4 linked regions of the Neodiprion lecontei genome follow. The protein of the gene in region 1 interacts with the protein of each later gene in a pairwise test. Links are inferred from orthologs where the notes say so. Each region holds a gene or a part of one and is shown on either strand. Other genes may lie near its edges.

Region 1 (6,867 bases):
ACACTCAACGGTTGTTCCTCTTCCAAGAAGCCATAGTGCAAAGGTTCGGTTTTGTACCGTGTCTGGTGGAGGGCACTGAAAATGATCATCAATACGTCCACGTTACTGGCAATGCATTTATTCTCGTACCGTCGACATCTTGTATTCGAGCCAGACCACGAACGGATACGAATATAATCAGACGGATAACGGGCCAGAAACGATATCCAGTCCATCCTGATCAATCTAGTCCGCACGAAGCATATATTACAAGGCATGTCAGTGGGAAGAATAAAGATGACTACAGTATGGACAGGAGGGTCGGTATATATACTTAATGTAAATATTTTCTATATGAATTGATATCAACTGTTCGTATTTTTTTATTCAGGTTGGCTTTTTGTGGTCATGGAATCATATGGTCAGTCGCAAGTGGAAATCGTTATCAACATCAGCGACCGGGGATGAGTTGTTTCAAAAAAAAATTATTCAAGATTTTAGAAACTTTTGTTCGAATGCGGACAACAGATTAAGACAGTACTGGGAGTCATGCTGGGAACTCAAAGAGAAAACGTGTTCCCGAACCGAGTAATTAAGCACATCCCAGTGTTCTGAAATTCAATGGCCTCGCTATCTGTTTTCGGGAATTTATTGTACATTTCAAAATACTATACGAGTGCTGGTTTGCTCAGTTTAAAATGATTCAATGAGCAACTAAGAAATACATATGAAAAAAAGTTGGATTAATCGTGGTAGTTTTAAGTGGGCCTATACAGCCTGAAATTCCTATTCTTGCCGTTACTGTACAAAAGTGAAATTTACAGAATATTAAGAATAATATTAACAATATAAGAAAGTCAGGTTTAAATCTTTTATTTGTAACGTCTAAAGTAATACATTAATTAATATTAATATTAACTACAAAGTTATCCATTTTATTAGACATTTTGTATTGAAAAATAAATAAGTATTTCTTTCGACAGGTCCAGATAATTTGTATGGAGAAAAAAAATTACATTGTGATTAGTGGATTTTTAATTTACACGCTGTCATCAATAGTGATCTGATCACTTGTGTTATAATACTTATGCGTAAAGTTGAACAGAAAAAAAATAGAGCTAAATTGTACACTGATTAAATTTGTAATTGAAAAATAATTATCATTCCAACACTATGAAACGGATTTTAGTCCTCATGAGAAACTAGCGCCGATATGTAAGCTCATATTATCAAAAGTAATTATCCAATTTTAATTATGCCAAAAACGAGCCGCATGCAGCTCAAAGAAGGCATTTCATTTAGCTTATAGCTTTGACAAAATATGTCATTATTTGATATTTTAATTCTAAGTATTCGTAAGATTTACTAGCTACAAAGCAAAAGATCAAAGAAGCTTCAGATGAATGGATGCAGAATTGAAAAATATTATCAAATTAAAAAGTACCTGTTATGTGAGTAAAATTCTGCTGGAAAAAAATTTAAATATACGGTTATTCTAGGCTAACTATTACACCTGTAATTTATAAAAAGAGGATGAAAAAAAGAATTGTAAAGCCATTCACCGTTTTAGTACCCGCTTTTTGATGGTGGTGTCGCAAAGTATTTTTTGTTTTTTCTCATGAACGTTCGGCTGGAAATAAATTATGGATTTATAGTATTTAATCTGTGAATGTAACGATCAGTAGTTGAATATTTTTTATATATTGATTGTAGAATACCTTGAACTGATAGGAGTATTGAAAAATCCCCTAGATGCTGTTCGTTTTAAAAGTGACTCTGTAGACGGAGTGTGTCTAAGTTCCCCAGTTTTCGGTGTTCCCACTCCGTTTAGACCTTCGGAGTTGACAAAATTTGCCCAATAATCTGACGGAATCTTCAACAGACTTTCCACTATCTGCAAAAGAACGCAAGTATTATTACTCTAAAATATTCTGAGGATATTTTGAATCCAATGAAAGATACTTACTGCAACTTGGCTTTTAGTTTCACTTAGCATTGAGTTTGGAGATGGTTCCTGGCAGCTATAACCGACAAGAGTTGGTCCGAATACTTTGGCAAGATTAGTGATCGGCATTTTGCATTCTGGACTGCTCGACACTCGCTGCAAATGGAGAATCAAGAATGCTAATGTATCGCGATTCGGTTGCGGTAATTCCGATATCGCTTGGTAAAGAGCAGCATCAGCATCCTGTTTATCAGAAATGGCCGTCGCTCTTGCAAAATCTGCCCATAGTCCAACTGTGATCAAAGGTTCGCGAAGAGTTCTGAATTAAGATGAAAGAAAAATTGTGAGTAAAATACCCTGCATTGCTCAAGGAATTGATAAAGTTATTTGTTGTGGTTTAATCTTTTTCATAATCCGACAAATGTACCTCAAGAAATCTTTCAAAGTTGAACAAATAGTCGGTATATCAATGTCGGAAAGGTTGGGTGCACCCTTTCCTTTCAAAAATTTGTCCTTCAAGCATTTAACGTCGCTCGAACCGCCATTCACCCTGTATAAACCTTGTTCGCCCATTCCCCTCAGTTCGACCTCATTTATGCAGTGTACCACCAGCGACGGCACCATGGGTGGTATCATGGGGGTATAATCTGCAATTGTACCCTAGGAAAGCAAAAATTGCTCACCTTGAATGGATTTCATATTTTTTTTGAATTGAAAAACTAAATGTTGTTCACAACTTACAGAAATACCACGCAAAGTCGGAGTATTTCCTGCAGGTACGCACGGTAATGGTACTAGGTCTTTACATTCGGCGTGAGAAGTAGCTCTGCACTCTCTGCATTTCAAAGCTACGCGTCCGAATCGAATACTGCAATGATAAAGTTGTAGTTGAATCAAATTGCCGACCACACTTCGTAATAGATAATCAAAAATTGTACCACAAAACATCGTTCCCTCACCGTTTGCCACAAGGAGTGCATACTTCTGGCTTGATAACAGTCTTTGCCGTGAAAGTGTGACCCCTGGACGATTTAATGTTCAAAGTATATCCACCGATATTAGGGCTGGGCTTAAATACACCTTCGGAATCTGAACCGGAAGTCATGATGTCGGCTTTTGGAGCTGAAGGCTGTATGCAAACATATATACACGGATTTTATTCAATGACTAGAAGTGTTTGCTGAATCCACTTTCTACTTTCACCATCCTATTTCATTCAACTCCTAAAATTAAGAAAAAAGGACCCACCTCCACGTCCATCAATGGATTTTTTGCATCCATGTGTGAACTTTTTTGTCTGGAGCGGTCAGCACTTGTGCGATATTTGTGGGGGCTCTGTTTTATTTGAGTATTTGGATCTTCATTTTCATTCCCAGGCTTTGCTTCAATCACAGAAGACGCCGTGATGGGTCCATCCTTGGGCAGAACAACAGTAGTTGTCGCTACTATCCGATCTGATGTATTCAAGTCTACAGCTTTCTGAATGCTGCTGCGCCTTTTCTTGGTTGAATATTCCCCGCTTGGTCTGTGCTCTTTCCATTCCCGTTTCTTTTGATTTTGCTGGAGCATGACACTCGCGTCCAAGTCGTCCTCCGATTTTGAAAAACAACTCAGATCGCTAAGCAGAGACCCGGTAGAATCCAATTCTGCTATTGTATTAAGCCTAGAAAAAAAAGTAACGATGGGTTAAAATTAAGACAGAGACTTTTGAAAGTCTTCTGACTTTCCTAACGATGCAATTTAGACTCTTACTTATCAGCGTGATGCAAGTCTTTTAGATGAACGTTGCTGCTGCGATTATTTAATGTTGTATTATTGAGAAATTGCAACTTTTCACGTGTTTCATCATTCAGGTTTCTACCTCCATCGTGTAGGAACAAGTCACGAACCATGGATATTTGTCGTTCCTGTGTAAATAGAATATTTGGCAATTATATCGAATTTTCATCATTTAATAGATACTTATACATGTTCAGGTATTTTGTTCACAACTAGTTGTTGAATTTATTATTACCAACGAGTTACGTTGATCTTCAACGATACGTCGTCGTCGTTTTTCCTCGTCAAGAAGTCGACGAGCATGACTTAATTTTCTTTCTAGATCTGCCGACTCTAAATGAGATTTTTCCAAAGCAGAATGAAGTCGCTGGCATTCCTGTACAGATGCCAACCATTTTTGTCGCATCTCTTCCTGGTTGATAGCAAAGCGCAGAAATTCTGAAACATTGAAAGATCGATACCTTTCTCATACAAGCATAGACTTTCTCTTAGATTCTGAGCACAGTTGAAACTTTCTAAACTTCGACTGGGTTAAAAGAATGAAGGGCTGAATGAGAGATAAGGGTATACGGGAAGCAGCTATCTCTGAAGATATCAGATGTTGCTGCAAGAGTAACTAGAGCACAGACTCCGCTGATGAATTATTCGTGGCTCTCTGTTAGTGAGAAAAGAATGTTCGTCTCAGAATAAAGTGACGTAAAAATTTATTCCGAATGTATGATCGTGGGGGGTAATTTCTTTGGGTAAACGAGGCGTCGATCAAGTGAGCTAACCTTCTTCGCACGATCCGTTGACGAGTACATTGGTACAACGTACCAGCTCATCGTGAGAGGCCAATATCGACAGTGAAGTTGTCATTTCGACAGCGTGAGGCTACCAAATTGCAGTGGCCAAGTACCAATTTGATCTAAAAAAGGAGAAAACGAAGGATGTTAAAAACTGACTGAATCGGACTCGCTGCCGGCTGTGAGTCTGTAGTTTTAGGCATCGTTGGTCCGAGACACAAGACGAGAAAATAATGGTAAAAACTCACCCTGCGTCCACCAAATTCACTTAACCGCTGTAAAACGCACCAGTTTTAATATATCGTTGTAAATACCGATTGACATAGCTCGCACGCGTTGTTGACGATCTCCGAACTCTTACACTATACAAGATACAACCGCCTAGTTTTGAGTTTGACCGTTTGAAATTCAACTAATCAGAAACAAGCGTCGTTGGCTCGCTTCACACTCCTTCGTTTAAAAGTTTCGATTTCCGCCGCACGGTAGCGCCACAGTTGAAGCCAACAAACGGTGTCACCTCGAATTATTTACGATTACTCGAACTACATTTGCCGCAAGGAAACGGCGCCGTCGAATATGAATGTATATCTCGTCAGGTCGTGAGATGTTTTTGATTAAATACTACCGTGCACGAGGGTGTTTCTATTCAAGTGTCAATAACAGTCTGGTTTATTCGTCGCGGAAGAAGCTCGTTAATCTCTCGATCAATCGTGGTATAATGATTCCGATGCTCAATTGTTTGATGCTAGAATTTTCGGTCTTTCGGGTATCAGGGATCGTCAGAGAGGCTTTCATCTTTTCAATTCGGCTGCGAAAAAGCAATCCAAGCAACAAAATGACACGGGAGACTCAACGTGCTCGCATAAATGGAATAACTGAGTAAGTGTGTATAAAACTTCTCTAAAAGACATATATATGAGTAGCTGTTTATCTAATTAAGAGGCATATGAGTTTTTGCCAGCCCATAAGAATTGAGCGAAGTGAGCTGAAAACAAAAACAAACATTCGAACGCGCAGTAATAACACTCGACTGAACTGCGTATATTATTATCATCGAACGATGCTGTTCGCGTTTCAGGGAGAAGAATTAAAGCGAATCGTCACGTAATCGAGCATCTTGCAGCATCAATTATTCGAAATAGTTTTACCCGCTGGCTCGAGGATGGTGGATCAAATCTGTGGGAGAATAGGAAGTGCCTGCTTAGTGGGTGGCAGTGCGTTATTCAGGTATGATTGAACTCGAGCTCTATTTGTTATGTTCGCATCAATTTCACATTCTTACCCCGTCGCTTGTTTATACAAAATCACTGCTATATGTACCTGAAATACCCATATATCCGGCGGTTATGCGGTGTATCTATACTAAAATGTAGAAAATCCTTTGTCTATTTATCACTTTGTTACCGATACAGTCAAGAATCAGTGAACCGGTTTACATGGGGCTTGAACCAAATTGTTTCTTAGGTCTGCCCGAGTAATATAGGCTATATATTGAGTTGTAAAACATGGTCCAATTAGTAATATGTAGGGAAGAGGCTCGACAAATAGGCCCCTTAAGAAAGGAATAACGTTAGACCAATTTCGACGACGCAATTTTCTTGTCTTCGGCCTAAAATAATATTTTAAACGTTGTCGATATTTTTGAAATCCCATTTGATTGTACAAGGACCCATTTTTCTCGCTAATACCCATTTTGCCCACATCTCCCCCTAAGTGTATACGTATTTCCAGAAATTTCCATCTTCGTGCTTCCCGGTTGTTTCTGTACGGGAAAATCTGGAGCCTGGAGGCTGAGGTTGAATCTACCTTGAGCCGTTCCACTTTGCTGCATGTACGTTTTACCGTATCCAAGGATCCAGCTTCGGTGAGTTTGGCTTTTCACGTATTTACCAGAATATCTTATACCTATGCAGTGGCATCTCTTTTTTTACATCCTGCCTCTGGACGCATTAAATCTTTGACACACGGATCAATGTATCTGCATAATTAACGGGTATATATTGAGGAAATTCTGGATAAAACTTTGACTTAAATAATAGTAGCGACGGTTGCCTGTGTACAGGCGAAATTGATTTCCAAACATCTTGATTGGAATTTGCTAGTAGATTAAGTCCTGTTACCGTGCGTAAAAATTTGTCTGAAAATTCAAAAATTTCATTCACTCTTGATTCGCAAATTTATGAACAATTCCCTATAAAGAGTTGTAAGTATTGCTACTGCCAAAAGCGATTAAGGCTACAATCATCAATTATACCAGATTTGAATGAAAAAAAAATTCGATACGTTCTCATTTTTTAGACTCACTTTACCATTCCTGCAGAGTAATTGTGTCAGAAATAAATTTTAATTTCGCGTGAAAAAATCCCTCACCTTTGTTGA
Region 2 (4,948 bases), on another chromosome or scaffold:
TTCAATTGCAAATTTTTCCTCTGTTCTGTGAATTGGCGAACTCAACTCACGGCTGCAATCCTCTGAAGAAATATATGTTCAAGTAATTCGATACATCACATTTGCAATCCTCAAAGCTATACTAAAACACTGTTCAATATTTTCTAATATAAATCAAAACTCCAAATGAATCTTAACTACTGAAAAGAATAGGTAATAAAAAGATTGAAAGTTTACGATATTCTGTCCTGAAATTTCTCGAACAGGAAAACATTTTTTACATCCAAGTTTTGATGGTTGTCAGATTTTATTATTGTTATTAGGATATCTCATTGACTTAGATCTGATTTTTCTGTTCACTTCAAGTCATAAAACTTAAGTCACAAATCATTACTTTTGTTTCGCAGGCAAAAGATATTTTCAGAAATTTTCAGTAATTTCTAAAAATTTACTCAGAATGCATATTTCTAAAAGATTTTCTATTTCGCTTAAAATATTTCAGACAAATTCGCATAAATTCCTAGGAGTTGTTCCGAAGTATCTCAATTTCTGTGCAGAAAATTAATTTCAACAGGTTTATCGAAAAACTTCGATATTTATTAAAAATTACTGTCAAAAATTTTCACACTTCTAGTTTGACTAAAATTATTGTTTTAGATATATCCAGATTTTTCAATGGCATTTCAGAAACATTCATATGCAACTGTTTCCTATGAAATTCCATACCGAAGTATGCTCAAAAAATATACAGGAACACCAGAAATCCGATTTTTTCAGATTTGTAATGCAAAATGGAGTTTCAAAAAAACTTGAGTTTCTCATAGAAATTGGTACAATTTTCACCTCTAACTTCACTTGGACAGAGACAGTCTAGAAGACAAAAATCTCAAGTTTATCAGATCTTTAAAAACTCTGTGGAATTTCTTCAAATCCCTTAGACTGATAGAATAATTCAAACTATTCCAGAAGTACTACAGAATTTTGCTTAGGACAGTCCAAAAACTAGATATATTTCTGAAAAATTCATTTAAAAAATTCTGAGAACTTTCCAATAATTCTCTCACTTGGGAATATAGTGATAATTAAAAGGTATGAGATATTGTGATCGGTACTTATTACAGATAGATGCTATGGCATCTGCCATAGTAGTACCATATCTATATTGTATGCAGGAACCAGTTTATGATATCAATGTGTGTAGGTGTGACAGCACCAACCAAGCAACAACTTACCAGAGTATAGCTTGCCCAGCCTTTGTAGTTTGGATCTGACACCGGATATTTGAGTCTCTCCATTCTCTTTGTTGGATACTTTGCCTTCTTGAGTTGTGATAGGAATTTTAGTAGGAGAAAATTTTCTCGGTGATTTAATCGGCGATTGCTTAACGGGAGAATCTTTAACCACTGGTTTAGCTGCCACATTGTGTTCCAGTACTAAAAGGCACAATACAACATCAAATAATGCAAATTGAACATGAGAGACACAAATGAATTAACGTACCTGGAGCCTGTGCCAAAATGGCATTAGCATCCTTCAGTGGACTGCGCCTCTTTTTGGGATCATGACCAGCATTTGACAATTGCGTGTCTAATTTTTCCCTCCTTGCTTTCGCACGCTCCAACATTCGCTAAAGTAAGCCAAAAAACTCGGATATCATAATTCACACGATGATGGTAGTAGATTAGCATAATAAAACAGTAAGAGGTATAATTCTGTACTTTTCTCACTTCTATTTAGACTTTTCATACATGCAGAAGAAACATAAGGGATTATTTTCCCTAATTAGCAAGTACAAAATCTGGCCAGGAAAGTTTTGAGCAGCTAAAATAATGAAAAGGGGTCTCAGACCTAGTAGTTGAGGTTGATAAGGTTTAATTTAACTAAAACAATATTATCTGAACACAGAGGAGCAGAAAAAATCGAGAAAAGCCCAGTCGTGGACAACAATTTTAATAGCACCATATCTTTGTTTTTAACCGAGAAGTGTGAAAAATGTGTCAAACAAATTCGAGAGCCTTTGATTACTGTCTAGACAAAGTAAGCTTTATTAAAATTAGACGAATTGGTGTCCGCAGAATGCAACAATAACCTAAAATCTCGATCTATGTTAAGGGTTAATTGCTTTATATTTACACTTGATTCAACTCAATTCGATCAAGACTAATTTCGCTTTGTGTTAGTATTGCTGAATAAGATTAAACCACAGAGAAATGCAACAGTCCATATGAGTTTAAAGTTCATAACGTTATCCTAACGATGCATATTCATGTGAAATAGTTATTTCACAAAATTAGTATGGTCTGAAATTCAATAAGACGTGACAAAACTATGCAGACTCAGATTTTGCAAACCCAACTTCTTCGAAGTCTTTCTAAACTGTCAAGATAGTAAGAGTTTTTCAATCGTGAAATTGTTGGGACCAGGCTACCTGGTTCATAAATTTTCTTTAGGATCACAACGGTCAACACGTGTTTGTATCTTACAATCCTATTCAATTCCAGACAAATAATGCCTCGGATCAGGTATAATTCCGCATAGCGTCGCTTACCTGAGTGAAGGGATCCATTGTTTAATTTTGGGCAGAAATTTAGAAAATTTCAGCACGCACGCTTGAAATCGTGACCCGACGTTTTCCGTCCTACGAAGAGCTCAGAGCGACGCGAATATACTTATTTATCTCGGGAAATAAGTGCAATAATATCAACGCACGCCGCGCCCTTCAACCGAACTCTTCAAACTGTCAACAACCGTTGCATTCAAATGCAACCGCCATTTTACGCGTTACTACGCTCACTGAAGTGGGATCACCGATGAAATTCAAAACGTCAATATCTCCTTCGATTCTGATCATAAACTTGTCGAACTTCACAGTTGTGGAAAGAACTTCATCGGTTATTTATTATCCTTTTTCAAACGAGATACGAGTTTGTCTTCCAATGTACCGGCCCGTGCAATTTGTTGCGACGATATATTTTCCGAAGTTAAACGTGATCTTGCCGTTCATTTGGGTACTGAATACCGACTCAATACTGACTGCTCGTTCATTCGCATCCTGTATAGAGCCCAGCCACCCGACGAACGAAGGCCCTATAGTGGGGGAAGAACGTTCGAAAGTTTAAATTAACGGGCTTTCATTGGTCGAGTTGTTGGAATAAATGCCTAACCGTTATACGTATTACAGATTATATCTCTACGCGTGCGCACCGGATTTGAACGTTGGTCATTCGAATTTTTTTGTAACTGGTTAATCAATCCGCAAAGGTGGTAAATTGTTCACAAAATTTAGTACGAGGTCCGAATCCCCTCATCCGCGTTCTTCCTTTGGGGAAAAGTTTTCAGATATTTCTCATAATTTTGTTGATAAATTTGATAGATAGTTTTCTAACATTTCTGAGAAAAATTCTGTACTGTATACAGTCGAGGGTTCTTAGGAAAACTAAGAAACTCGGAGAAATTTCCATTCTAAGATAATTCGTAAAAATTTAGTTTCAGTCAACGCTTGACAACCAAATGCAGCACCATTGGTCAAAGAAATGTATTCAACCCCATAAAGTTGTTGCTGGGATACCTGCAAATGTTTTTGTGTTATGGAATTTCTTCAAATAACCTCGTAATAATAAATATACATATAAATATTGAAGCCTGTATCTGAGCGTCAATCGATAGTTTATATTGTAAAAGAAGCTACTCAAGATTGAATTTGGTGAACATTATAATGAGAATTTTAAACGACGTTTGACAACTCATGCACCCAGTTCTGTGAAAGTAATATACCATAATGATTATCATATATATACAGGTAAAAAACTAGAATGGAAGAGAACATCATACGGACTTTTCGGCCGAATACCCTAAGAATTCATCCTAGCGAACCAAATTTCGAAACTGCAAATCCAAATATTAAGATGGATTATGTTGCAATACTATTATTCATTGGGCTGGTGGCTGTGCAATTGCTCACGAGCGCCTTTATTGGATACATTATATCAACCATATACTGATAATTTGTCTCACGAGTTTAATAAAGATCACTGAAATAAAATAATTGAGACCCTGATTTGGCTACTCATTAATCATATACATAATGATTTCCTTTATATTGCGATCGAATCAGTTAAAAATTTTGTCAGATGAAGTATAAATATACTGATAGTAACTGTTGTCAAGTGATTGACATTAAGATTATTTTATTATAATCTTGTCTGAATTGAAATATCGAACGAAAAATTCCAGCACTCTGCTGTTGCATAGCCAAACGATTATTATAGAACTGTTATAATATTCTATCATGATTAATATTATTACAATTCAAATTTCAACACTTCATATACTATTTATTAGCTGTAACATGATTATTTCAAAACATTGTATTGATTTTTATTTCTATGCATATAGAACTATGTACGTATTCAAATGCTTGTTATGTACTTAAATTAGATATTTATTATATTATACTACACACGGTTTCATAATAATAATAATAATGGCATGACTAGACAACGACTAAATAAGTAAATATACAGATGTTTCGGATATCAAGATTAGATCCAGGTAAATATTTAATTTAAATAATATCAAATTGTTAGTACATTATATCTCTCTATATGGTTTATAATCTCAGTCGATCGATTTCCTTTACATATTACACATCTGATTTGAATTTGGTATTTCTCTATTTTGTAAATTGGCCAAAGATATTCCAAAATCATGGCTTCAGTCTAAGAAATTTTAATGTGCGCTATATGCATTAAATATAGGTTATAGCATTATGATTTGTGCTGTATCACCACGGCAGTCAGTATATTTTACATGTTGTAATGCGCGAAAAAGAGCCTTATCAGATCCTACTCCTTAAGTAGACTTCAAAGAGCTGAGAGAATCGTGGCGTTATTTAATTCAAGCTCTTGGAAGATATAATTATGCGTATTACATTGATTGCTGCCAAATCGTTGAATCCTGATCTCAGCTA
Region 3 (5,129 bases), on another chromosome or scaffold:
TAATAATAATAACAATAATAATCATGAATAATACTTAAAAATACATATCCTCACCCTGCTATATAACAATATAACGAAATAACATTCTGGTAATCGAAAATAACTATAGCGCCCGCTTCCAAATCTGCGCGGATTTACCGGTCTTTTTCGTTGTCTGCCACGGTGTTCGGGTCAAGATATTTGTCTGCCCTTTCGTATATAAAATTTGGATGACTTCCTGTAAAAGTTTATTTTTGTTCCAACCCTTATAGTATGACGTAAGTTAGATACATTTTCGCGTGTCTTTATTGTTGTCTGCCGCCATTTTTCCAGCGACCGAGGTGTCTGCCATTTTTACTATTCAACTCAAAATATCATTCTCTGCTACCACACAAAAAATTAGCGCTTATGAAATGACGTTTTTCAATTGATTTTTTTAACCCTTTGCACCCCTCCCACCGCGTTCTCCAGTACTGGAGGCCAGGCAGACTTCCGAATCAATTATTAGCTATGTTAAGAGAGTATGACAAGATGGAAAATTTTGTTTATGAAATGACGTAACTAAAAAGTTCACTAGCTCTTAGACTATTACCATCACGTCGCACAACGAGAGAGATGAGCATGAATATATAATATCTACGAGACGTTAACTTAACTAATGTTGTTTGAAACGCACCAGCTTCCGGGGCTCGCAGCAATTTGATACATATTTTTAAAATGATAATGTAAATGACAATAAAAATGACCACTAAATGCACAAATACAGAAAGAACATTTTTCTTGTCCGTTTTAGATTTTGAAATAAGGAGAAGTGGAAAATTATTTTTTCTGAAAACTGATGTAAAATGTTCGCTAATAAATAATAACGATAATAATAATAATAATTAAACTAGAACAGCACAATAAATGAGGAAAACGTACGTTATATTAACGACTGTTATCAATGTCTAGGAAATAGATACATAAATATACAAATAATTTTGTTTGATTAAAAATAATAAAACGATATATCAAGGTTCCGTCAATCCGTCCATTAAAATTCTTGTTTATGCAGAAACGACACAAAGGAGAGAGACAGCAGCGAGTGAACGAGAGGGAAGAAAAATAAGAAAATTATATTTACAGCAGACGTTAAATGCACAGTAAAACTTACGAATTTAGTTTCGGCCCCGACAATGGAATATTTAAATGTATACAGTTAACAGCAATAACAAAATTTCATTGCTCAATTTATGCTGAGTCTTGGGCAAAAAAAAATTGTAATCCCATGGATAAATAATTGATCAAATTTAGCATTTGATTGAGCAATCATTAAATAAGTACCATTACTAAATAAATGAGTCTAAGGCTTTCAATCATATTTCCAGACTAGTTGGAAATTTTCAGCTCCCAGGTCCGTAATGATTCGGTTGAAATTAGAGTGGATGGGTTGGGATGGTACTTAATAACTTTATCTTATCATCAGCACGATCAAAGCTCGCAAGTCTGTCGATCTCGCTCTCACTGCCGTTAAAAAAACATGACATTGTAATTTATTTATCATCATTTTTGTCACAGGATGTCGGGTTAAATTAATGCATAAAATCCTGAAATTAATTTTTCTGGCCTACTAAGGGCTCAATTCTTTAGAATATGTTTTTCATTAATTAAACTAAATCGATTCTAACTTTAAAGGTCAGAATATGAGATTATAGGATATTTCCAAGACCCACTAATGCTGATGACTATTATTTTTTCTCAATTCTCCTGTAAACTTCGACGCGATGGCTTTCATCTCTTAACGACTAATTCACTGCAAGAAAGAAGTTGAATTTAATGAATGTGTTTGAGGGTCATTTTGAAAATCTGTAATGTCAATAATCTTTTTTGGTAAAGTAGGAATCCAGCGTCATGTTACGAACAGGCAACAGCTCTGTCTTTACGAACTACGTCATCGTTCTTCTGGATGGTTCAGAAAACATGTTGGTCTAAAGTTGGCTGAGATTATGTGAAATCTAGTCTGAGCCTATAAATGTGATAATGTGTTTTCTGGCATTAATATGACATTAGTGCCAAAACATCATTTTACTCTTTCTTGGGTACATTGGACATGTTTACATTGCACAGATTTGATAGAGTCTAATGTGAGATGAACCAATCACATGAATAGTTTCAAGAGCATTATCCAAAATTCGTTTCATTGATTAGTTGATCCCAAACATGGCGATGCAGACATGGCCGCTATCGCCCAAAAATGCATAGAATAAAAAACTCATTCGGTTGGTAAAGGACAGAAGCATCGCTCAAAAACAAGAGAATCAAAGCCTCAAACACGTATTAACATGTTTACAGATAACTCTTGGTAAAGGAAGGATGGGAAAGATACATTTGTGATTTTTTCAGAAACATGTCACTCATAGCCATTGCTGAGCTTGTATGAAATCTATTTTGAGCATATGTAAAGGTGATGTTTTTTTCTGGCGTTAATAGAAGATGAAAATACTACCAAGTTATCATTTCACTTTTTATTTTCAATACGTCTACTAAAATCTAGGACATTCCCCGAGTTCCGAAGAACATGGCCCAAAATGCAGAGTAAAGAAAATGACTCGGTCGGTAAGGATGGGCACAAGTATCTGCTGAATTTTTCCCTAGTTTACAGGAAAGTTATGGAGAAGGGACGAAGGGGGAGACACGCGTGTGTGTCTTCAACAAAGTGTGCAAGTAACTTACGTTCGGTGGCGGCCGCCTCTTCACTATTTATATCACTGGTACTGCTGTGCACGCTTTGCTCTTCCATTTTGGCAGTAGTAATCGCGCGTCGAGGTGGCGGGGTCGTCAACGTGTAGAGAGAGAACAGCACAACACAACGTCAGGTACGACGGCGTTTATTTCGCAGTCGTTTTTACGGCTGCCCGAAAATAAGAAGTCCGTCGCCTGTTTCTTCGCGCCTTCTGTTTCTCCCTCTTTCTTCCTCCTCTTTTTATATTGTTTATTCTCTTCTTTTTATTCCTGATCGATTTCAATTTTATTCAAATTTCCCCCTCTCTTCGTAGTTCACCCGTTTTTACCGCCGTTACAGCCTAATTTCCGTTAATTCCAGTTCTCGCCGTAATCGTTTCAACGACGAACCTTTGCGTCAGGTGCGTCCTCCCCTCCTGCCGCTATTCAATTGTTGAGGTGCATGCCTCGTTCCATTTGTCAGAGGCGGGAAAGAGGCGGCAGGGAGAAGAGGAAGAAGATATATAAAAAGAAAAAGTAGGAAGGAAGAGAATATTTTTACTATTTATGATTTACTAGCCGATTGTCTGTTCAATGTCTTTATTGGATATATTTATTATTCACTCGGCTGGTTTGTAGCTGTTGGTTTCTATTTTTTTTTCGTTTTTGTCTAGCAGTTTATTAGTTGATTATCATTAGCAATCGCCACCGCGCGTCGACAAATCGCTCCTCCCGATGATCGTCGTCATCGTCGAGACGACGGAACAGCTGAAACAAAAAAGGCGTCAACACGTTGCAGGTCGTCGCAAATTCGCGGGATTCAACGCATGTACAGTTGCCCCAAAAACATGGCAAACCCCGTTGATATTTGATGGAAAACCCGTTCAGAAAGATTAAAACATTGACAACGGTCATAAAACATTCAATATGAGATTGAGTTTTATCACTTCGAAGATTCAAAACTGCAAAAGATTCAAATTTGTGAACGATCTGAAAAAATTTGAATAATCGGAATTCCAAATCTTTGAATTTTTCAGAATAATCGGAACTTTAGAATGCTTTTGATAGGAGAGATGTTCTGGGGTAATTCCGTCTGCTACCCTAGGCAAATTCTTCACAATTAGTTGTAGGAATAATTCAAAATGCTATCCTTTATAATGCGAATTATTCCAAATTTTGATCAATCAATTCGGCCTGATAATTTCATGTTTATGTGTCATGTATATATATTTAATGATAATTGTCTACAAGCGCATATCTTGTAAACTTTGGGCCGCCGCTTGGTCAGTATATTGGCCAAGCTATAGTTAAATAATCTAAATGCAGCTTATTTGAATATACATGAACCCTAGAGCACATGTATCTTTTTTTCTACCCTCTAACGCGTGAGCAGGTTCACTATCAACCCCACGCGTTTCTCGATTGTAAGATCGTTCTAAAAGCAATAATAGGACTCGTAAGTGCACAAATCTTTTCGTTTTTTAATAAGGAAATGGATGGTGAAGAGCAAATCCGATTTTGTTGAAGTTTAGTTGGTGAAGAATTCAATCAACTACCAAACGGTACTGAAAAAAAAAACAGCTGGAGTGGTTAACAGGACCGTATATACAATCTAGGATTAAAATCAGCGGTGGTCTAAAGGTTCACATCTACAAACAGTTTGAAAAATGCATATCAAAAAAATGTCTAAGGAAACAAAATGATACCGGATATGACTATTGATAGATCGACAGCAATTAATATGTGACTAGTAGCAACACCAAAGAAACCTTTCATGTCAAATTGTACAGTGTTAAGGGGGTGCCCTGGTCGATTTTGACGTCGACGTATATATCTCTGAATATCAAAGTCGAAGTAGCTCAACCCCAAAAAAAAACTTTACAGACCCATTCTAAACAAAATCCTGAACAAAACTACTCCAGTATTTTTTCATTTGATAGAAAAATAAAGAAATAGCATGAATTCCATGAAATTACTACTGCGATTCCATCAGGGCATCATCTTAACCCTTACACTGCATACCTCTTGCGTATAACATTGTCACACCAGGCTCGCTGGAGACCCCGCGTAAAAAATAACTGTTCAGAAACAAAGATATTGATTCAAATAGCTCCAAAAAATTCTGGGATACTTTTTAACTATTATATTTCAAGGAAAATTAGCTATTTCTAGCAAAATGAAATTTTGTAATATGGAGAAAAATAACTCATTGAACATGTGTAAACCAAGGGTGTTACAGAACATTGAACATGCTGTCATTATGACCCCAGTGCGTAGCGTAAGGGTTGAGCAATTAACTTTGGTGGCAATTCGTATGAATGTCATCAGCTAGCTTCAGCGTCATAACGGCAATTGGCAATTATATGAGATGTTTTCCACACAACTTTCAGACATTACAATAATTGAGAACCGATAACTGTGAAAATAGAAAACCACATCCATGCTTTAAT
Region 4 (8,031 bases), on another chromosome or scaffold:
CAGAACATTGAAACACCGTCATGTAAAAAATTGCAGGAGATGCAAACAGCATAGTACTGATGATTATTTTACAAAAGATAATTGATTTCATTTTTTGTAGATAGATGTATATTATCTTTGCATTTGTGAAATGTATCGGGTGCAAGAAAAAGGAAAGACAGAGCCAAGTGCAGCCTTTTTACAAAATCCATACTTGATACATGAATTTATAAATTTTCACTTGAGAACAGGCAGAAAGGACGTGAATTGACGTTTTATTGTTATGACGTCATTCATGGCTTCAAGCTTTTCACCACTATTCTTTACAGGTGTTCTATTTTCTGGATATAATGAATCAAACTTAGACTGTGTTTTATCAATTTATATGTGTATGAAAAAGCTATTTATTCAAATTCTTGTCAATAAGAATCTTGCATCAAAAATCCATGTATATTATGAAAAAAACATTTTTTATTATTTTGATTGAATGTGACAACTAGCTTTTCTCATAAATACGGAAGCGATTCACCGTACACTTCATTAGTCGAATTTATGACAGAAATTTTTTATCAAGAATTAGTATTTATTTATTACCTCGTAAAACGTGTTGTTAAATATAGTTACTATGTTTCCCTGGTTTTTAAAGAGAATGCTCAATCAATGCAACTAGCGGAATAGGGATTGTAATTGCCATTTTCAATTCATGCATAGATTCAATGAAAAACAGTTTTAGAGCGTCACTGGTTAATGTTGAACCTTACAAAACAGTTTGACGGAACATTGGTAATAAGAATGTCAAAGGCGTATTTAGTGCGTTGAATGACTGAAAAAAAATTGAAGAAAACTAAGTAAGACTTTTAATATACTCAGAGATTAATTTATTTATTTTGAGTCCGCGAAAATATTTACTTGTATCGATAAATCATAATATTCCTAAAGGTCCTAGAATAAAACTCATAAATATATCAACTTAATCTGAAACGGTTTTATCTGTTTCGTGCAGTGGTTCTATGAAACTGCTTCAACTTCATGACTAGTATTAAATTTACAGTAACATTCTGGTATGATGTGCAAGTCATAATTAAAACTAAAGAAGTGGAACGTTCTACAAAAAAATGTTTGAAGTTGCATTTATTGTATGTAATACTACATCAGTGGAATATATCATGAACACACTTCTGTTGCCATGTCTCACAAAACTTTCATCAAAATGTATCATTCTCATTATGTTGAACTTAAATTCTTCATAGCTCTATAAAATTATTATAAACGTATTGGAAAATGAAATGATCCTACTAACTCGATAATTAGTATGCGAATACAACTAAAATAAAATTCAATTCCGTGTTAATATTTTTTTCTCTTGTGCTATTATAATGAAATTTAATAGCAAATTAAAACTATATTATTTCTTTTTTCTCCTACAGACTACTGATTCATACCAGTAACATAAGTGTGCAAATAACGATTCAAGAAGTACATAACAAACTAAGTGAAGAAAAAAAAACTACTAACTTAAATTTCAACGTTACGATTATAAAAAGAATTAAAATAAGTAGAGGTCAACGATTACATTGTCTGGGAGTGCGATATGTTTGTTATGCGAGGTCACTTCGGAAATGTCATAATTTTTCAGTTAAATTAACAGAACAGTCTTCATACATGTTACTCGATTGATGATAGGAGAGAGGCAAGATAACGACATTCTACATTCGAGGCCTTTTTGTGTGAGCTTCTACGGCCGTAGAACAATGTTCAGAAGAATCTGTGTGTCCATTAATTTGGGAATTTGGAGCTCCGCTACGCTTTCTCCTCGCTGTAGGAGACATTTGCTTCAAACATTCAACGTCGTTGAATACTACTTGAGCGCCACCACCACTCGTTGGAACAATGTCACCCTGCAAAAATATACATTGAAGAATTTAGGAATGAACTACGACGAAGTGAAAATCGAACTATTACTACTAATTTCTAACATTCAGAACTCACCTTGTATAGTTTAGTTTCCAGCTCTCCATCGGTATCGTGTTCTTGGGCTACTAGACAATATCGGGATGCTCCTTCAGTGATAGCTTTTGGATCAGTGAGCCGAGTAATGCTGCGACGACGATTCATCAAAGGTTGAAGAACAGTGCCAACAGGAACTAAAGCTCCGGGTCTGTGGTCAACCCATCTGTCGGCACTCTGTGATCGTCTGTGTCTAAGATTTGCCACTGGCACTTTATCCTGTGAGAAAATGGTAGACTATATGTGAAATGTGTTCTTCGATTTATTCTCTCTATATTTTTTTATGCCATACCTTTCGAGATACATGAGTATTTCCAGATCTTGGCGTTGCAGCTTCACCAGCGTCACTAAGAGTCTGGGGTACAGCTACAGTATCTTTAACAGGAATTCCCAGTGAAGTGCCACTTGTTTCATCTACCAAAATTTGCTTTACAAGGCGCAGTTTGTCTTCTTTTTCTTTCATTTGGTTCTGGAAAAATACAGGATCAAAATATGAATAAATTTCTCCTTGACAACTGTACATGGACACGTGAACTCATATACCTGTAAATGTTGCCGCTGTTGTCGCAGTTTTATATCCAATTCTCGCGACATTTTCTCAGTTTCTGCCTGAATTTTGCTGTTGTATTTTTGCTTTACTCTTTGCTTATCTATTACTCGTTGATTTAGCACCATGTCTCTATCTTTTAACTAAAAGTAGAACAAATATTCATGTATGGTGAAATAAGTAGAATTTGAAAATCGTGTAGTACAAAATCCATTAGAAACTCAAAGTTCAACTCACCTCTTGTTGCAACGTTCTTATTGTATCATTGGCACTGTTCAATTTACGGAGTAAGCTATCTATCTGTGCCTCTGTTTTACAAATATGACCTTCTAAAGCTGAAACCTACCAAGAGAACAAGTTTAATTGAAGATATACTCTACTTGAGGTAAAACACGGACTGAACTGTACGAAGAGATTACCTTCTTTTTCTCCTGGTTATTAAATGCTTTTGCAGATGCATTTTCAACTTTTAGAGTCATATTTTCCTGCTCCAGTGTTAGTAGCATTTTTCTGAAGTCCGTTTCTGAAATGCGATGACAAAAATTAATATGTATGTAACAGTAAACATGGTGGCAAGACCAAACTTACGTTTTTGTTCCAGATCTGATCGTAAGATATTTCTTTTGTTGATGCGCTGCTCCAAGAATTGCATGAGAGTAGTGATTATCTGATCGTTGAGTGGACTATTTATTTCCAATTCTGGGAACGGACCTCCCAAGCTGAAGTGACGGAGTATGGACGATTAAAAAATTATCAAGTAAATAGATGGGCATCTCTGGAGAGCGATATGAATTGGTGAATTATAATACCTGTATACTAGTCCTAGATCAACTTCCAGATCTCCAGTATCAAGTCGCCTCTCTTTCTCCAATCTACTTTTAGCTTCTTTGAATATCTGAGAATTTGTTTGAAACGCCATCATCATTCTCACATGTGATTTCATAACCACCAATATTATTTATATGCAATCTGTGCAATTTACCTTGTTGGCTTGTCTCCGCCCAGGTGTAAAACCAAGGTCCAATTTCGTGGCTGTCGGTCGGGTGACTTGTACCTCTTGGGTCATTTCCGCAAACTTCATTACTTGCTGTCCCATGCATCAGAAGAAAACATGAAAATATTTAAGTGACCAAGGAATGGAACATGAGAAATTGGAGGTACATATTGGATATATGTTTCAACAAACGTACGATTGTCTCATCGTAGTCATCTGCTCTGGGATTGACACAGACTATCATTCGGACTTGTCCTTCACCATCGAAATAATTTTTGAATAGGTGTGTGAGCTTAGAATCTCTGTAAGGAACCATTTTATTTGTTCCTTGAGTTTGATTTTCTCTCAATATTTCCAGGCATGAACGAAGTGTCATCAGCGAATTATTTATGTTTCCTAAATGTGTAAGAAGTTGGCAAACATCAGCTGACGAATTTAAAAAATTTGAAAATTCATTCTTAATACTATCAATAGTTAAAGACAACTTACCTGCTTCTCTCAGTCTTTGACCTGTATTTTTAGTTCGGTTTGTTCGCTCACTTCCGGCAAGATCAACCAGGGAAAGTTGACTAATACAGATCACTCTTTTATCTTGTATTACTTGTTCACCTTGACAGTCTAGCGGTGCCTGGGTAAAAGATTGAGCTATTAGAATAATTCAGGAATAATGAATGAACCCGATGATTACCTGTACTAGTCTAATTGTGAAGACACTGTGTGATCTACTAGATTCTGCGTTTAGAGCTGTGTGAGCAACCCGGCGTCGGCGTTGACCACGTTGAAATACCTCAAATGCTTCTTCAGCACTTTTTACTTCAACCTCAGTAACTGCATGAACATACATATTTTTGTTTCCATCTTCTCGTACGATTTTACTCTGCAGAGATCTAATTATGAACAAAAATAATAGTTGGCACAACCTTCTTAAATTTTAAGCGATTCTTAAAATGTACAAGGTACCCATGCGATTTTGAATTTGAAATTCATCTTTTGTTAAAGTGTTTAAGAAACGTTTTTGACTGTGTGTATGAACAGCAAGTGCTTACTTGACCCTAACATCCTCGTCATCAAGCAGATCATAAACACTGTTGTTATATATTTCAACATAAGTGACAAAAACGGCATAAACATTATCATGTTCAACTGGCAAAACTTGTGATTCATCCGCTTCCCTTATAATCATTGGATTACTGTCACTATCGCTGTCACCTTTTCGACTAAAACAATGGTGAAAAATCTATGATATTAAACATTCAAAAACACTAGAATAACAATTTTTAGAAATCAATCATTCTTACTTGCGACTCAATTTTCCAGGACGAGGAGTCATAAAGCCAGCATGTAGCTCGTTCTGCCGATCGAGCATAGCGTCTGTTTCGCTCTGTACATCAAAGCCATTGAGCTTGTCGGGTTTGAAGACAAACTTCTTGGCCTGAAAGTTGGCGATGCTATTGAATATGACATCCAGAGAGCGTGGCATTATTCCCCCGTTCTGGGGTTCCCCAGTCATTGTGTAAGTCTTTCCACTGCCAGTGACTCCATAGGTGAATAATAGGCTGTTTTTGCCTTTTACAAGATTTTCAATAAGTGGAAGAGCCACTGTATTAAATACTTCTCGCTGCCCAACATCTGGGACGAATACTTGATTGAACGTAGTTTGAATTTCCTTGTAATTTCCGTTCCTGAAATTGGCAGCTGACTCTGGCGATGTTATCACTATAGTTGTGGGAGATATCACCTTCATGCAAGACGTGTCCGACTCATATTGCATCGGCCTTATTCGACAATACACCTGAACCGGGTCTCGACTTGTCAAGTTGTAAGCTCTTGGCCTAGTTGTAGGTTTCCTTGCGGAGGTTGGAGGCTTAGGGCGACTGAAATATTTGAATGATTTATGTGATAAATGAAAGTTTATAGTATGTTAGGCGTTATCATATTTATTTATATAAAGTCTAAATATCAATTAATTAGGGCTGGAGATACGGATCATTCGATAATGCCATGAATAAGATCTGTCAAAATAACCTATGTCAGGCGTTTTTTAAACTTTGACGATTCTGGATATGATAAAACAGACTTACAAGGACTTCATAGTGGTATCCGCCTGAAATATCACTCTCGGTTCAATTATATCCACTTATAATAGTCAGAAAACAACGGTTATTAAACTTTCGATGCACTCCAGGTACGCACGCCTAAAAACTCGTTACGCAAACCGCCATTCAAACTTCAAACAATCTACGCGTATATCACGTGCATTAACCTGTCCTCCAATCACCGCTAAGACTCTCAGCCATGGGTTATGTTTCGTAACAGTTGGAGTATGGTTGGAGTGGTTTGGCCGGTTCTGGGGGTAAGAAGTTCTATATAACAACCATCGCGTGCAAAATTTTCATTCAACGGTGTCCTCACCAGGTAGCGCTGTAACGAGACGAGTACGCTGCATATGTGAACACAGAGATACAGATAATTCTCCATTCCATGGAGTCACGCCTGAAAGATCACAGTCATCGGCCCCTTTGTGATAAGAAGTGACACGAATTGTCAAGAAGCAGCCGTTTTGATAGAATGGAAGAAATTGGGATCGTTTTGCCCGACAAGGTAACGGATTTCATAGAGAATTTGAGGTTTTGCATTAAAATTATTCTTTGAAATCCTGCTCAAAATGCCGTAAAACCGAAATATGTGGAAACTGCCATAACCTCATTGAATGTTTCGTTTGCAGCTGCCTCTAAACTTGTTTTCCTGAAAATATCCTTAAAGTTAGCATCAAATATTGTGCGAATTATACTTACTGAATAACGAGACTGAACAACAACATTATAATTGTTTCAGGACGTCGGAGAGGTTGATTCAAAACCACCCATTGGTCATTATTCCGGAGCGGGTGATGAGCTGGATGTAGAGGACCTCTACACTAAGTACAAGGTGAATAACTTTACATTTTAGAAGAAATCGAATCTGTTTGCTACTTACTTCAAGGATAGAAATTAAAGTAGAATTATTAACTTGTTTTGTAGAAATTACAGCGTATGCTAGAATTTCTTGAGGTCCAGGAAGAGTATATAAAAGATGAACAACGTAATTTGAAAAAGGAGTATTTACATGCCCAGGAAGAGGTGAAACGTATACAGAGTGTTCCGTTAGTAATCGGCCAGTTCTTAGAGGCTGTAGATCAAAATACTGGCATTGTTGGATCAACGACCGGCTCCAACTATTATGTTCGCATACTTTCGACCATAGACCGTGAGCTATTGAAACCTTCGGCGAGTGTAGCTCTCCACAAACATAGTAATGCTCTTGTTGATGTTCTTCCTCCTGAGGCTGACTCCAGCATATCTATGCTACAACCTGGTAAATACAAATTTGTCCAATTATTTTTTAAATATTTTACAAATCCTAACAGTTTTTCTAAATGTTTCATTGAACGCAGTTCAGCAAATTTCAAGTGTGGTTGACTCGTTGCACCTACTGTTTGACTATTATGATGATGAAGTGAAATGTACTGACAAATCAATATTTCTTTGATACAGATGAGAAGCCAGACATCCAGTACAGTGACATAGGAGGAATGGATATGCAGAAACAGGAGATCAGGGAAGCTGTAGAGCTGCCTCTGACTCACTTTGAGCTGTACAAACAAATTGGAATTGACCCGCCAAGGGGAGTGCTAATGTATGGTCCACCAGGCTGTGGAAAAACCATGCTTGCCAAAGCCGTTGCTAGACATACTACCGGTAATATTACTTAGCCATTTTCTTATCACGGCTAATGGATACCAAGCTCACAATTATATCTCATGAATTTTTTTTCTTGTAACTGTCAATCAGCTGCGTTTATACGCGTCGTCGGCTCTGAATTTGTTCAGAAATACCTTGGGGAAGGACCGAGGATGGTACGAGACGTATTTCGTCTAGCTAAGGAAAATTCACCAGCGATAATTTTCGTTGATGAAATTGATGCTATCGCAACTAAGCGATTTGATGCTCAGACTGGCGCTGATCGCGAGGTTCAGCGTATTCTTCTAGAGCTCTTGAATCAGATGGACGGATTTGATCAGACTACTAACGTGAAGGTCATTATGGCAACTAACAGGTAAATTTCTTCGGTGTTTCCGTAAAATTATTCTTGTAATAGTCATTCTGGTAATGTTATTTTTTTCGTGAAATTTTCAGGGCTGATACCCTTGACCCTGCACTTCTGCGACCTGGCCGATTGGATCGAAAAATTGAATTTCCCTTGCCGGATCGGCGTCAAAAGCGACTTGTATTTTCGACGATAACAACAAAGATGAATTTAAGCGAAGAAGTTGATTTAGAAGATTACGTAGCCCGACCGGATAGAATTTCGGGTGCTGATATAAACGCGATATGCCAAGAGGCAGGGATGCACGCAGTTCGCGAAAACCGCTACATCGTGTTAGCAAAGGATTTTGAAAAAGGGTATAAAAATAACATCAAAAAGGACGAGTCGGAACACGATTTCTATAAGTAAATTGAACCCT

Evidence for each region.
Region 2: the proteins of rac GTPase-activating protein 1 (region 1) and anillin interact in a two-hybrid assay, tested with the Drosophila melanogaster proteins (2 studies listed by BioGRID). The link is inferred for Neodiprion lecontei from reciprocal best matches to the Drosophila melanogaster genes tum and scra.
Region 3: the proteins of rac GTPase-activating protein 1 (region 1) and protein ECT2 interact in a two-hybrid assay, tested with the Drosophila melanogaster proteins (2 studies listed by BioGRID). The link is inferred for Neodiprion lecontei from reciprocal best matches to the Drosophila melanogaster genes tum and pbl.
Region 4: the proteins of rac GTPase-activating protein 1 (region 1) and kinesin-like protein KIF23 interact in a two-hybrid assay, tested with the Drosophila melanogaster proteins (3 studies listed by BioGRID). The link is inferred for Neodiprion lecontei from reciprocal best matches to the Drosophila melanogaster genes tum and pav.

The regions. Positions count from the first base shown.
Region 1 is NC_060263.1:5,501,853-5,508,719, reverse strand, and holds rac GTPase-activating protein 1, read right to left. Parts: upstream 4,918-6,867; 5' UTR 4,737-4,917; intron 4,611-4,736; 5' UTR 4,562-4,610; coding exon 4,477-4,561; intron 4,142-4,476; coding exon 3,939-4,141; intron 3,832-3,938; coding exon 3,677-3,831; intron 3,588-3,676; coding exon 3,173-3,587; intron 3,054-3,172; coding exon 2,884-3,053; intron 2,793-2,883; coding exon 2,666-2,792; intron 2,585-2,665; coding exon 2,352-2,584; intron 2,244-2,351; coding exon 1,946-2,243; intron 1,874-1,945; coding exon 1,698-1,873; intron 1,610-1,697; coding exon 1,546-1,609; 3' UTR 1,542-1,545; exon of another isoform or gene 1,443-1,541; 3' UTR 606-1,442; downstream 1-605. Other genes in the region: GATOR complex protein Iml1, read left to right, coding at 1-299, 371-571.
Region 2 is NC_060261.1:15,614,809-15,619,756, forward strand, and holds the start of anillin, read right to left. Parts: upstream 3,036-4,948; 5' UTR 2,546-3,035; coding exon 2,528-2,545; intron 1,607-2,527; coding exon 1,480-1,606; intron 1,413-1,479; coding exon 1,212-1,412; intron 63-1,211; coding exon 1-62. UniProt on the Drosophila melanogaster protein: Required for cytokinesis. Essential for the structural integrity of the cleavage furrow and for completion of cleavage furrow ingression and proper formation of the midbody.
Region 3 is NC_060264.1:21,477,793-21,482,921, forward strand, and holds the start of protein ECT2, read right to left. Parts: upstream 3,066-5,129; 5' UTR 2,759-3,065; coding exon 2,692-2,758; intron 1-2,691.
Region 4 is NC_060260.1:1,077,489-1,085,519, reverse strand, and holds kinesin-like protein KIF23, read right to left. Parts: upstream 6,041-8,031; 5' UTR 5,940-6,040; intron 5,875-5,939; 5' UTR 5,620-5,874; coding exon 5,609-5,619; intron 5,402-5,608; coding exon 4,826-5,401; intron 4,745-4,825; coding exon 4,574-4,744; intron 4,415-4,573; coding exon 4,216-4,414; intron 4,156-4,215; coding exon 4,017-4,155; intron 3,924-4,016; coding exon 3,724-3,923; intron 3,621-3,723; coding exon 3,516-3,620; intron 3,429-3,515; coding exon 3,343-3,428; intron 3,253-3,342; coding exon 3,122-3,252; intron 3,057-3,121; coding exon 2,953-3,056; intron 2,876-2,952; coding exon 2,771-2,875; intron 2,677-2,770; coding exon 2,530-2,676; intron 2,456-2,529; coding exon 2,279-2,455; intron 2,206-2,278; coding exon 1,969-2,205; intron 1,878-1,968; coding exon 1,686-1,877; 3' UTR 106-1,685; downstream 1-105. Other genes in the region: dnaJ homolog subfamily B member 12, read left to right, coding at 1-54; 26S proteasome regulatory subunit 6B, read left to right, coding at 6,096-6,128, 6,363-6,455, 6,548-6,881, 7,061-7,264, 7,358-7,622, 7,703-8,021.